3 linked regions of the Oryzias latipes genome follow. The protein of the gene in region 1 purifies or fractionates together with the protein of each later gene. This does not show direct contact. Links are inferred from orthologs where the notes say so. Each region holds a gene or a part of one and is shown on either strand. Other genes may lie near its edges.

Region 1 (4,241 bases):
TTTTTTTAAAGTGAACCTGATGGATGACAGAAGATTTGCTTTTTTTATTTGTATATATTTTTAGTTTGACTTTTTTGCAATTTAATTATTTTTACTTGTTAAAAACATGTTTGAATATATACGTCCATTTAAAAGAAAAACAACTGTCTAATTTAGGTAAAACAACAGTTTAACTTTTAAAGTGCAATGAAAAAATGTGGAAAATTGAGACATCAGTGACTTACAGTTGCAACATGATGACGTATTTTTTATTTTAAAAAAACTTAATTTCTGTAACTTTTTATAGAACCCTTTTTTCATATTTTTAAAATAATGTTTAATGTAACATGTACAGTTAAACGTGAGACATATCATTGAAATTTGATGTATATTGCATGGAAACTGTTTTATGGATATTACACTAAAATTTATAGGGTAGATTCCAAAAACTCAATTGTTTACCCTCTTTTTGTTGTATGTCATCAGCAAAATGAAGCCTACGTCAGCAAGACCGAGTTGCGAAAGTACAAATTCCTAAACCTGATAGAAAAGAATCAAGATCTAACTCAGTGACGACCTGGGAATCAGATAGTTATGATAGCAACTAAACAAGATAATCAGAACTCCTGGAGACTCTGACGACAAAGGACATGTAAACATTTGAATAGTGCTACCAACTCTTTTCTGCTCTGACCAAATCTCTCAGACATTTTTTTGTCAAATGTTGTTGTAAAATGAAGACTTGTCAGTTGAATTGATTTCTCCTGCAATCAAAACATAATGTTGGTTTTATGTTGGTTGAAAGTTGTTTTTGTTTCCTCATGATGATGCTCAAGATGGAACAAAGTTCAGTTTTTAATTTTCTACCGTTTTGTCCCATTTGGGGTCACAGGGCTGCTGGAGCCTATCCCAGCCACTTGGGCGAAGGCAGGGTTCCCTGGACTGTCTGTTGCAGGGTCACAATCACACACACATTCACTCTCACACCTAGGGACAATTAAGTGTTTCGACAATTAATGGTTTCCAATTGACCTATGAAATGGGAGGAAGCTGGAGACCATGCATGGATAGAACATGCAAACTCCACACAGAAAGGCCCCCCATTGGTGTTGTGTTGCTGGTCCCCCAGATGGGACTTGAACCTTCTTGCTGTGAGGCAAGAGCGCTAAGCACTGCCCCACAGTGCAGCCCCTGAAATGAAATAATACATTAATAGTTAATAATACATTTACCTTTTTTGAAAATATAAATAAATAAATAAATAAATAAAAGTTCTTACAAACTCAAAAGTGGATGTATGTATATAATGCTTTTTAATTCTGTAAAAAACCCAACTGTTATTTTCAATATTTAAGTCACTTAAATTAAAATTATGAAGCATTTCAAATTTTAAATTAACTGAATACTATTTAGTCTTCTCTAGTTCTCTTCTCTAGTTATTTACCTAGCAATTTGTATTTAACAAAACTATCCATATCAGCATTAATGCCATTCTTGTAAAAGCATATAGATATTAATGTTAATGCCATTAACATAATGTTAACGGCAAACAAACAGGAAATTAATGTTTACAAGAACGATTTGAATGGGTAGAATCTTTTTTGTGTTAGACTGAACCAAAATTCAGATACCAGAATTGTTGCTTTGGTTCAGATAAGATGACTTGAAGGTCTCACCAACGTCATGAACTGATCTCTGCTGGTTGACCTGAAGCTAACCAGCTTTCCTGAAGCAGAATGTAAGCCAATAGGATTTCATAGACCTGCTATGTCACAGAGGTTTGGAAAACAAGATGGACTAAACGTCCTGACATCAAAAACACTTGCATGAAAAGTGTCATAGGACATTTATTTATTGTTGTTTTTTAATGCTGTGTCAACATCTAATTCAATCAGGACATATTTTTCCTTCATCCATCATGTGAGGTGAAGAAAAAGTTCTTGCAAAACAGGCTGGACACACGCAAATAAATGTGTAATATGTAATTGATGAGAAGACAGCTGCCAGACGTTTTTGTTGAGGAGCAAGCATTCTGTTTTATACTTGTTCTTAATAAGATTAGTGGTCTAATCTGGGAGGAGTCAGGAATAACCTGCGGAGCTGTGGAGTGCTAGAACTGCTCACACAATCTTTTTTGCTCCCTCTGAAGACACTGACCCCACATTTGATAATTCACAGATGGCCTTTAAGGAAGGAGACTTCAGGCTCCCTTACCTCGCTCTATGAAGATAACCTGACACAGGGGGCAGCAGGAAGGCCACAGGATTGATTTTCCACAGAGCAAAAGAAGGAATGACAATTTGGTTTGAGAAATACTGGTAACAGTAGTTTTGAAGGGACTCTTCACCAGACAGCAGTCGTCAGCATCACATTTATGGTACCAGAGGTAAACCCGCTTTTCTCCGTTTCATTTTTTATTTTTTGTTAGTTTGTATTTCTTTACAAGATAAGTACTTTGTACTTTACTGTTTTGTGGGGTATTTTTGGAACTTTTTTTTGTATTCTTATCAGCCAAGAATAACATTTCAATTCTCTAAAACACTATTTCCTTGCTTATTTAAACCATAGTACACATAAGTGTGCATAATAATTTTTAACCTTTGTGTTTTCAGTCTTTGATATGACGCTCAGTCTGAGTCCACATGGCATTTCATGTAAAGATAGGAGGTGGAGCTCTGATGGAATACAGTAAGTAAAAAAAAAAAAAAAAAAGGAAAAAACAGAAACTACATAATTTTACTGACTAAAGCACAATGCAGCTACATGAAAATACTTTTTAAATACAGAGGATGAGGGGCTATTTTTACTGTAATGCCCTCATGACAGATCATTAGTGCCAACCAAGGATTAAACACGTCCAAGTCAGATCACACAACTGATTATCTTAATCATTTAACCGAAACAGTTTAACCTACTTCATAGGGACTTGGTTGGGTGTGTGAAATGTTCTTTCAAAGTATCTAAATACGGTTCCGAAACCTACAATTAAAAAAATAGAGTTAATTTTAAAGAATTAATTCATTGAAAAACATCACTTTGAATCTTTGTTCATACCTTTTTTTTTTAGCTTTATTTATAGAAGAAAGTTTCACTGAGAGTAGACTATGCTTACCATGGTGCAGAGGTAGAGCGGTAGACCTCTGATCGGAAAATCACAGGTTTGGTTCCCGCCCCTTTGGGCAAGACACTGAACTCAGCATTGCTTCTGGTGGCTATGGGTTGTTGTCAATGTTCGGCAGTGGAGCGGCTTCAGTGTGTGAATGTGTATGTGAATGTGTGTGAATGGGACAGTGACTGTAAAGCACTTTGGGCTTTCTAAGAAGGTAGTAAAGCCCTATACAATTGAGCTATTTATGGATTACTTTTCTTTTCCTGTTTCCAAAAAAATACAACAGTAAAAGCTCCCAGAGCAAAATACACAATAGTAGGAGAAGCTATACGATATGTCATCCCTGGACACATGCAGTGCTCAATCGGGTGTGGAGGTGAAGACTGCAAATATGATAACCCTGCTTACTGGAGAGAAGACCAACAGGCCATAAAGGGCCTCTACTCCTCCTGGTAACCATCATTTCTTTAGTTTAATTTTCCAAATCATTTTACCTCACTGACTTGTCAAGGGCTTGAATTTAACATTATAATTCTGTTACTGTGGTTACAGGATCACAGAGCATCTTCTTGCCATGTCCAGACCTTCAACGGAAATTATTGAAAAGTTTGACGTAATCAATCAGTTTAAAAGGTATGCACTCCTTTGTTTCTCGGTCAGTACCTTTCTAAAGGTTTCTGAGGTAAAAAATGATAAAAACATCTTTGCTGTTTGAAGGAATGGCATCAAATCGGTCATCAACCTACAGATGGTAGGAGAGCATGCGAGCTGTGGAAAGCCTCTGGAGCCAGATAGCGGGTTTTCATATCGTCCAGAGGTCTTTATGGAAAACAACAGTATGTACTTTGGTATGTCTTTAGAATAATTCGACAGTAAGTCTGAAAGGAAAAACTAAACCATGTTATGCTCTAAGTTTTTTTCTATAATTACGGCTGGTGTGACTACGGAGTGGCCAACCTCACCACAATGTTGGACATGGTGAAGGTGATGGCTTTTGCACTGCAGGAGGGAAAAGTAGCGGTCCACTGTCACGCTGGCCTCGGCAGAACAGGTAGATTTTTGAGGAAATGTGTACAAAAGGCTTAGAGACCCTCTCCAATAAAAACAATCGGGTTTTGGGTGTTTATGATATGTTCTTGTGGCTTTTTTCATG
Region 2 (3,942 bases), on another chromosome or scaffold:
TGTGATTACTTCTGTCAGCTCTTCCATGTTGGCAGGCTTGATGTCTACAATATCTGAGAACAAGCCGTTAAGGAACTGATGGTCTCAGGATTGTGGAACAGAATCACACACAAAAAAAACAAAAAACCATCAAATGAAAACTTTCTAGAGATATTTAAAAGAAAAGGATACTAAAACTTCTGTCTGTGATTTCCAAGTGCCATAGATTTATTCTTAGGTCATCTGCGGAGAGGTAAGTTTCGTGATCGCTATTTACAGAAATGGAATTAATGTGATAGGTGTGCGCGTTTGCAAAGATCCTCCGTGGGCTTGCTTCTACCATGAGATCCATTGGCATCAGCACAGGTACCTGAGACACAAAACCTGACAAGTTAACAACAAAGTACTTCCAAAATGAATGAAACGATGAAATGGTGGGATTTTACGTACCCGTAAAGAGGTGATTCTAAAAGGATCTCGGACTCGCCCATCTTCATCTTTCAGGTTGTAACCCTCCGCCCGTTTATCTCTTTCACTAATTTTCCACAATTTGATAGTTTTATCTGAGAGAGAAAAAAAACAGGTCAGAAAGCCTCAAAATACACAGAAATTATGGAGAAAAAAAACCCTCCTACCATTTGTTGAAAGTAGAAAGTGAGCAGCATTTTGTTGGGGTAGCCATCTTATTTTATTAATTTTTTCCTCAATTTCTAAACTTTTCAAATAGTCAAATTCTGGCTCGTGACTCTGAAAAGTGCTATAGACGTTGTACTCCCCACGCAAGTGTGGACGATTCTTAGACTGAAAGAGGAAGAAAGAGTGGGGAAAATGAAATGACGACGTAGACTTGTGCGAACAATGATCGTAAGCGTGGTGTTTTGTGAAGAAACCCTACCTCCTGTTCATGCTGAAAAATCACTACTCTCCCGCCTTTGTCTCCAGTTGCAAGTAATTCTCCAGAATAGTTGAACTCAACGGTTGAGATGATGTCCGCTGAAAAACAGACACGAGTTACAGCAAATCTGACTAAAATATCTGTTTTTTTAGCTGTTATCTTTTAGTTTTTAGTAGAAAATAATGTAGAAAATATGAGTCAAACTGGACTAACTACAACTGGTAAAATGCATTAATACCAATCTATTTACAATAAAGTTTTAGCACCAAATAATACGTAATTCCTACATTTGTGAGTATACTCATGCAAATACAAATCATGTGATGTAAGCATTTTTTGCTAAAACGTTTAATGCAGAAAACATAAGTAATTAGAAATAGCTTAGATCTGTTATGGTTTAGTTTCATCTCACAAAACAACTGTAGATATTAGCTTAAATCATTTAGGTTTGAGCTCAGTTTGAAAAGCGTCCAACTGCTGCTTTGCTTTGACAAAAATAAAAGCCTTTAAGAACAAAATGTAACTCTGCATTTGTGAGACTGGAAATACAACTTGACGCTTCACATCAGTGGAATGAAAATTATGTAACATCTTCAACAGAAGAACGTTGATATTTGCTTGTATTTATGCACAACAAAACACAAAAACAGATGGAAATTCATTATGAATTGCTTGGACGCACTTTAACCCTAACTGTGACCCTAAAATATGTGCGAATTGACAGTTTCCCCACCTGAAAGCAAAAAGACTTTCTTTGCTTTTAAAAAACGCTTAAAAGTAACATTTAAAACGTGCAAAAATAATTTAATTAGCATTAATCGTAGGCATAAAAAAAAGGTACATGGGCGTGTGACTGAAATGCTATATTTCTGTAAATATACATCTAATTTTTAGTGAAGAGGAGCATAATTTTGACCCTAACACCTGGATAGTTTTTTATTTATTTAGTGAACATGAAAGAACATAGCTTAACATTTTGTAAATTTAAATAAATACATAAAATACTTTAGTAATTTCAGCCGGAAGGGACAGATGAATAACAATAAATAAAAGGTAAAATAAAATATCTTGTATATTTTTAGTTTTGAACAACATTTTCCAAACTTTATATATTTAAATAAAACGTCGACAACACAACCTCGATACGCACACGTTCGACAAACAAACCATGTTGCCTCCACAATTTATAGACGCAGTACATTGACGTCATGGGCACGGTCGCTCCCCTTTAATAGTTTAGCAAGCACCTAGCATTCAGCTTGTTAGCAACACACGGCGATTAAAAGGGCGTTTTCCCAGGTGGCTCGCAAACAGACATTTATCGACACCAGCTGCCCCGCTCGTACAACATGTGCGTCCATCCCTCAAAAAGTCACACACGGCGCATCACACGTGAAGACCCACACAGCCCCATCATCCTGCTAGCTTGACCACCGTTATGGGGGTTAGCATAACCGCCTAGCTAGCGTAAGCTACTTACCTTCCGCAACATCTTCATCTATCGCTCCTTTTACTTGAGAGAAACACCACTGGAAATCATTTCCTCCTGCAACTCCTGCGAAAGAACACAGCGGTAGTTAGCAGCTGTAAAACGCCGCGTTTGGCGGTGAAGATGGCCCGACAGTGACACAGTTTGACAACTTAGCGCTGCCGCTGCGCTGGTGGTGAGCTAACTCTCAGATTCAGGCCATCACACCAACCAAGAGAGCCGGATTCTTCTGCTCCCTTCAAAAGTAGCTTACCCGCCATTGCTTCATTTAGCAGCTCTTGTTGTACGAAACTTCCAAGACCTGATCGACCAATGCGGCTTGCTCAGAGAAAACAGATAACATCCACAATCAGTGTGCAGACTCGGCTCCAGATCTGTCAAGACCACGGAAATTATCCGTGATTTTTTTTTCTTCCAAAATGGCGCACGGTACATGGAGAAATGACGTCATGCACACATGCCACATCCTGGCTGCATCCATCCTCTCCCGTGCATCACCTCACAACATCTGCATTTAGCCTTTTTTTTCCCTTTCAGTGCTGCGCTTTATTACACGGATACACACACTAATGTGCGCAAATAATATCTTTAAGTTCAGATCCACGTTTTTTTTTCCAGGTTTATGAATAAAATTTAGATCATTTATATCACTTTCAATCAGTTTTTACTTATTGTAACAGTTTAAGTTTTAATAAATGGAAAACAAATCTGCATTTACAGAAAGTCTTTCTCAATTGGTCATAGGCAAGATTAACCTGACTATATATAAATAAGTTTGGTAACATAAAAGTTTAAGGAAAAATAAAATAAAATATTGACAAAAATACATTAAAAAACTTTTGATCTTTCAAAGAAACTATCGTGTCATTTTTTTACAAGATGTTTTATTTTGCATGACAACTTTGAGGACTACCGCGTTGATTGGACGATCCATCAGTGACATCTAGTGGCAAAAAAGGTGAAAAGCCAATTGACATTACCTGTAAGGACCACAAATGCTGCATTTTGTGGAACTGAACCAATGCAAGTGCCCTGTCTGTCTCAGTTTGATATGGATTTCTTTCTCTCATAATTCAAAGTGATGTGAAGTTTCCATAGTTTAAGCATAAACAAGCCATTTGCTTAAAAGGGCTACTGGAGGCTTTAACAGCTTGCCACTCAGATGTCTTCTTAAAATTAAATGCATAGCCTTTCTTATTGCATGTTTTGCACTTTGTATGAAATACTGAATTATAATAGACGTATATAGTTATGAGTAAATGGAACAAAATAAAAAAAACAACTGAACATATGAATTAAAGATATGTATTTGTTAAAATTGAAATTTTATAGAAAGGGAAAGAACAAAAAAAGGTAAATGGCGTAAATTTATGTAGTGCTCTCTTTATTACCTTCTTAGAAGGCCCAAAGTGTTTGACAGTCACAGTCCCTTTCACCCATTCACACACACTCACACACTGATGGCGGCTTCGCTGCTGAAATCTGGTGCCATCCTAATACCTCCTCGAACAATGTGAGGTTCTGTGCCTTGCTCAAGAGCACTTTGATACAATGGGAACCCGATTTCTTTTAATAAGAG
Region 3 (3,945 bases), on another chromosome or scaffold:
GTTCTAATCGTGTTCCTTTTTTATTATTTTGATGTTGAAAACAACTTTATGACAATGTGAATGAATTTGCCATTAATTCTTGATCAAATCGGATCATTTAAATTGAACAAATATACACTATGACTCGTATCGCAACTACAAATGATATGAATCAAATAATTGTTGAAAATAAATTGTTATACCTGTATTTTTAATTTTTCTAAACAAAACTGTATTTCAAATGGTTCTTCGTACCTTCAGCGACATCATCATCGATGGCTCCTTTCACCTGAGAGAAGCACCACTGCATGTCACCTCCAGGTGCTGTGAGAAGAGAAAAATGAGTGGATTATCTTCAGTGACTCTTCTTGCCGTCTGCTTCAAACACCAGAATGACTTAACTGAAGAAGATTTTATTGACTTAATATTGCTCTAAACCTAGTGAAAAATGCTTTTTAAGAATGACACACTTCGTTGTCATCTGCCAAGGAGCAAGACAGAATTGAAAGTGGCCAACATGCCAAAGTGCAAGAAAATCATATTAAAAACCAAAAAAGTACAAATCCATACATAAAGGGTGACTGGGTGTTGACAGTATCATTAAGGAGCCTGATGGAGCATGGGTAAAAACTTTTTCAAGTCTGTTGGTCCTGGCTCTGAAGGACCTGCATCTCTTCCCTGGTGGCAGCAGTTAGAACTTGTGCTCAATAATATTCATGAATTACTTCAGAAAAGATCAGTGTTGGGACCTGTCTGAGATCCAGGGTCTAACAATGATTCCACTGACCATTACCGCAATATTTTAATGATCATACGTGCACACATGCACCACCACTTAGGTAGAAAACTGTGCAGCATCTTTTTTAAGAAAGTGATCATTCACACAGAATTTTCAAAATACACGCAGCCAGAGCTGACTTTTTCTTTGGTTGCACGGACCCGGATGAAGGGTTAGGATTAGGTTAATACACGCGACCAACCACAACATTTAGACTTGGCCGTACTTAAAATTTGTGCCGGTAATGCAGGAATGTGCATCTGTCCGCTAAACATGCAGCCAACATGAATTTCCATCAGTTTTTTGTGTTTGGTCCCACATAAATATGTGCAAATAACATAAGCTATATCTTAAAACATTAAGATACACCACTATTACTCGAGACAGTCTACACCTGCAAAACCAGTTCTGTTCCAGTGAGTCAACTCACAGCTATAAAACTACATGATCTTTTAATTACAATAAAAGTGGGTGCAGTCAGTAACTGCTAGACTGTTCTCTTCATCTTAGGTCTTGTAGCTGGTTAACAGCGGTCATGCTGAGGCCTGGTTTAAGAGGAACTCAACATACATGAACAATTCTGGCACTGCAATCATTGTGGCCACTTACAAAACTGAAACCGAATGTTTCCAACAGTCACCTTAAAGCAGGTTGACGTAGCAGCACATACTTTAACAGAGTACATTTTGTAGGATAAACAAGCCCAAAGGAAGCAGGTACAATCATTTCTGTGCATACACACCAGAAAGAGTCAAAACACTCACTGGAGGAACAAAATATCTCAAATGTTTTATTGGGGAGTCTTGTGCAATGCATTTGTCTAAAAATGTGAGTCACTCAAAAAATGGACGACGTGCAAGCATTCCACACTTTCCATGATTGACGTTTCTGCTATGCCTTTAAAACCAAATTTAAAATCAAAGTCTGCTATAGGGGTGGGGGGTGAGGCCCCCCCACCCACTGGAATCACAATACTTCGCTACTAAAGTAAAGCTAACAAATGAATGAAAAACATCGCAGAGAAAGTCTGAGCATTCTCTACAGATGAAATGGTCGTTATCCCGCGCCTCTTGTAGCCTTTGAAGCAGAAACTGCGTGAACATTTCCCTCAGAGCTCAGTGGGCCCGCCTGCTAGCCTGCATGTGAGCAATGTCAAAGTTTGCGCTAAAGCTAGCAATGACGGCTTGCCAAGCTAGCCGATGCATGTTTGAGAACTGTGGCGCTACTTTGAGCTTGCCCTAACGTTTGGGTTAATAACTCGCAGCCTTGTGTGTTGTTATTCCATTAAGAGGTTTGCACAGAAGTATACCAAAAGAAAACCTCCGTGTACGAGCGAAATACTCGGCCATTAGCTACAAAAACTTAACACTATTTCATGCCGGTGCCACAAAATTATTAACAGATTTGGCTAAACTGCCATGCATATCATTATCAGGTTAGTAATGCAACCTATTTGTGTAGATAACAGCAAAACAGCTGTAACGGTAACTGGTAAGCTAGCTTTAACCGGCAAATGTTTCTGTTGTTGCGCGAGGACAGTCGAGTTCTGTGAATAGCTTAGGTTAGCACTAGCCAAGTTCGGCTAACTAGCTATCGTTAGCTAAAACAGAAATGAACTGGTGGGTGAATAAAACCTGACTCCCGGAACGCAGAGACGACCAAGAAACGACGTTTTAACAATGAAAAAAAACATTTTTTTTCAGAACGTTTAACACAGTCCAGACGAATTACCTGCCATGGCGAGACAGACAGTGGAGCTTGCCTCAGTCAGTTGGTCACGATCCTGCTTCCCACTCCCACGCGCTGATTCGTGGGATCTTAACTTTTTTTTCCTCCCTCCCCCCCCTCCTCCACTCAGCCTCTGTTCACCGAGCAAAGCAGAACAATGTGTGTGTTTAAGTCAAACTGCGCGGTTCGGAGTTCCCGCTCGTCTCTTTGCTGCTCCTGGAAACATTCACTCCCCCGCGGTGGTGCTGGTGTCTCGCGCTCTCTTGCCGCCGGCTGCTCCGCATCCCAGAAGTCAATTCTTCAAACTCCCCTCGAGTCTCTTCCGCACGTGAACCAAACCCTCTTTATAATGTGCACGCGCATGACGGATGTTTTGTCAAAGATTAGAAAGGCCTAAAAGCAGGGCTCTGCAACCTTTAATACTTAAACAGAACCAAAAAATATGACTTCATCGTTTAGAAAAAATAGGACACCGATATGTATTTATGTTATTGTTATGATAAACATAATTTTTTTTTGCATACAAAAAGATTAACATACAGAGAAAATATATATTTTTCAAAATATGAAATAGTTTATAACTTTTGACAGAGGTTGACATGACATCCTTTCAAAATAAAAGACACCCTGAGGCCTCATAATCCGGTGCACCTTAATTTTGGTTTTGCTCACTGACCTCCAGTTGATTTTCTGTGGTACATGGCGCACAAAAATCTGGCATAACGTTTTCGTTCAACCTGTTAATGCGTACTGTTCTTCAACTGTTTGTGTATGAGGTCATTTAAGTCAGTTTGCTTTTTTTCTTTTTACTTTACAGTTACTTATTTAAATTAAAAACGTTTTATTTTTCTGTAACCAGAGAGCCAAATTCGTTTTGGAGCTTCAGTCAGCAGACATCTGGATTAAACCAATGGTCACACTGACCTGTTTGATACTTTTACTGCTCCGTTATACTTTAGCATGTTCATGCTTAACATTAGAAAAACTAAGTTTACTGCAAAAACGTCTTTGATTGCATTTAATTAACCTGCAAGATATTTAACAGCTAAGTTTAAAAGTTTAAGATAAATTAGCAGAAAAAAGTAAGTTTTTAAAAATTAGAACTGGTCTGATGGTATAAAATATAATATGCTAGCTGAGCAAATTAAATACTTTAAATAAAATATATAATAGAAAAATTTAAAACCTAAAAAAGGTTTAGCCTTGACCACACAGCTACATTTTTCTGGTCTCAAAAGTCAGATTTTTGTTGTTGGTAATGTTGGCTTTGTTGCCCCTCCAGATGGTTCTACTAAAAATGTGAAGGTGGTTCACAAAATCTGCAAAATCGAATTTGTTTTTAAGGTGAAGTCGTTACCCCCAGAAACCCCCCACAATTATTAATTATTTTTCAAATATAAATATACCCATCACAAACCTTTTTACCCATTTTCTTTGTGAAATTGCAAAGTAGGATGAAT

The links. The genes of interacting proteins can lie anywhere in the genome.
Region 2: the proteins of protein tyrosine phosphatase domain-containing protein 1-like (region 1) and ppp2r2d purify together in Homo sapiens (affinity purification with mass spectrometry; 5 studies listed by BioGRID and IntAct, counting the BioPlex papers as one, with this or other methods). This does not show direct contact. The link is inferred for Oryzias latipes from reciprocal best matches to the Homo sapiens genes PTPDC1 and PPP2R2D.
Region 3: the proteins of protein tyrosine phosphatase domain-containing protein 1-like (region 1) and serine/threonine-protein phosphatase 2A 55 kDa regulatory subunit B alpha isoform purify together in Homo sapiens (affinity purification with mass spectrometry; 4 studies listed by BioGRID and IntAct, counting the BioPlex papers as one, with this or other methods). This does not show direct contact. The link is inferred for Oryzias latipes from reciprocal best matches to the Homo sapiens genes PTPDC1 and PPP2R2A.

Annotation. Positions count from the first base shown.
Region 1 is NC_019865.2:17,422,964-17,427,204, forward strand, and holds the start of protein tyrosine phosphatase domain-containing protein 1-like, read left to right. Parts: upstream 1-1,441; 5' UTR 1,442-2,365; exon of another isoform or gene 2,366-2,591; 5' UTR 2,592-2,621; coding exon 2,622-2,667; intron 2,668-3,374; coding exon 3,375-3,540; intron 3,541-3,640; coding exon 3,641-3,721; intron 3,722-3,805; coding exon 3,806-3,924; intron 3,925-4,001; coding exon 4,002-4,139; intron 4,140-4,241. UniProt on the Homo sapiens protein: May play roles in cilia formation and/or maintenance.
Region 2 is NC_019873.2:19,563,822-19,567,763, reverse strand, and holds the start of ppp2r2d (serine/threonine-protein phosphatase 2A 55 kDa regulatory subunit B delta isoform), read right to left. Parts: upstream 2,801-3,942; 5' UTR 2,624-2,800; coding exon 2,617-2,623; intron 2,430-2,616; coding exon 2,355-2,429; intron 973-2,354; coding exon 875-972; intron 781-874; coding exon 615-780; intron 543-614; coding exon 430-542; intron 350-429; coding exon 172-349; intron 54-171; coding exon 1-53. UniProt on the Homo sapiens protein: Substrate-recognition subunit of protein phosphatase 2A (PP2A) that plays a key role in cell cycle by controlling mitosis entry and exit. Involved in chromosome clustering during late mitosis by mediating dephosphorylation of MKI67.
Region 3 is NC_019870.2:24,073,967-24,077,911, forward strand, and holds the start of serine/threonine-protein phosphatase 2A 55 kDa regulatory subunit B alpha isoform, read right to left. Parts: upstream 2,801-3,945; 5' UTR 2,496-2,800; coding exon 2,489-2,495; intron 304-2,488; coding exon 235-303; intron 1-234. UniProt on the Homo sapiens protein: Substrate-recognition subunit of protein phosphatase 2A (PP2A) that plays a key role in cell cycle by controlling mitosis entry and exit. Involved in chromosome clustering during late mitosis by mediating dephosphorylation of MKI67.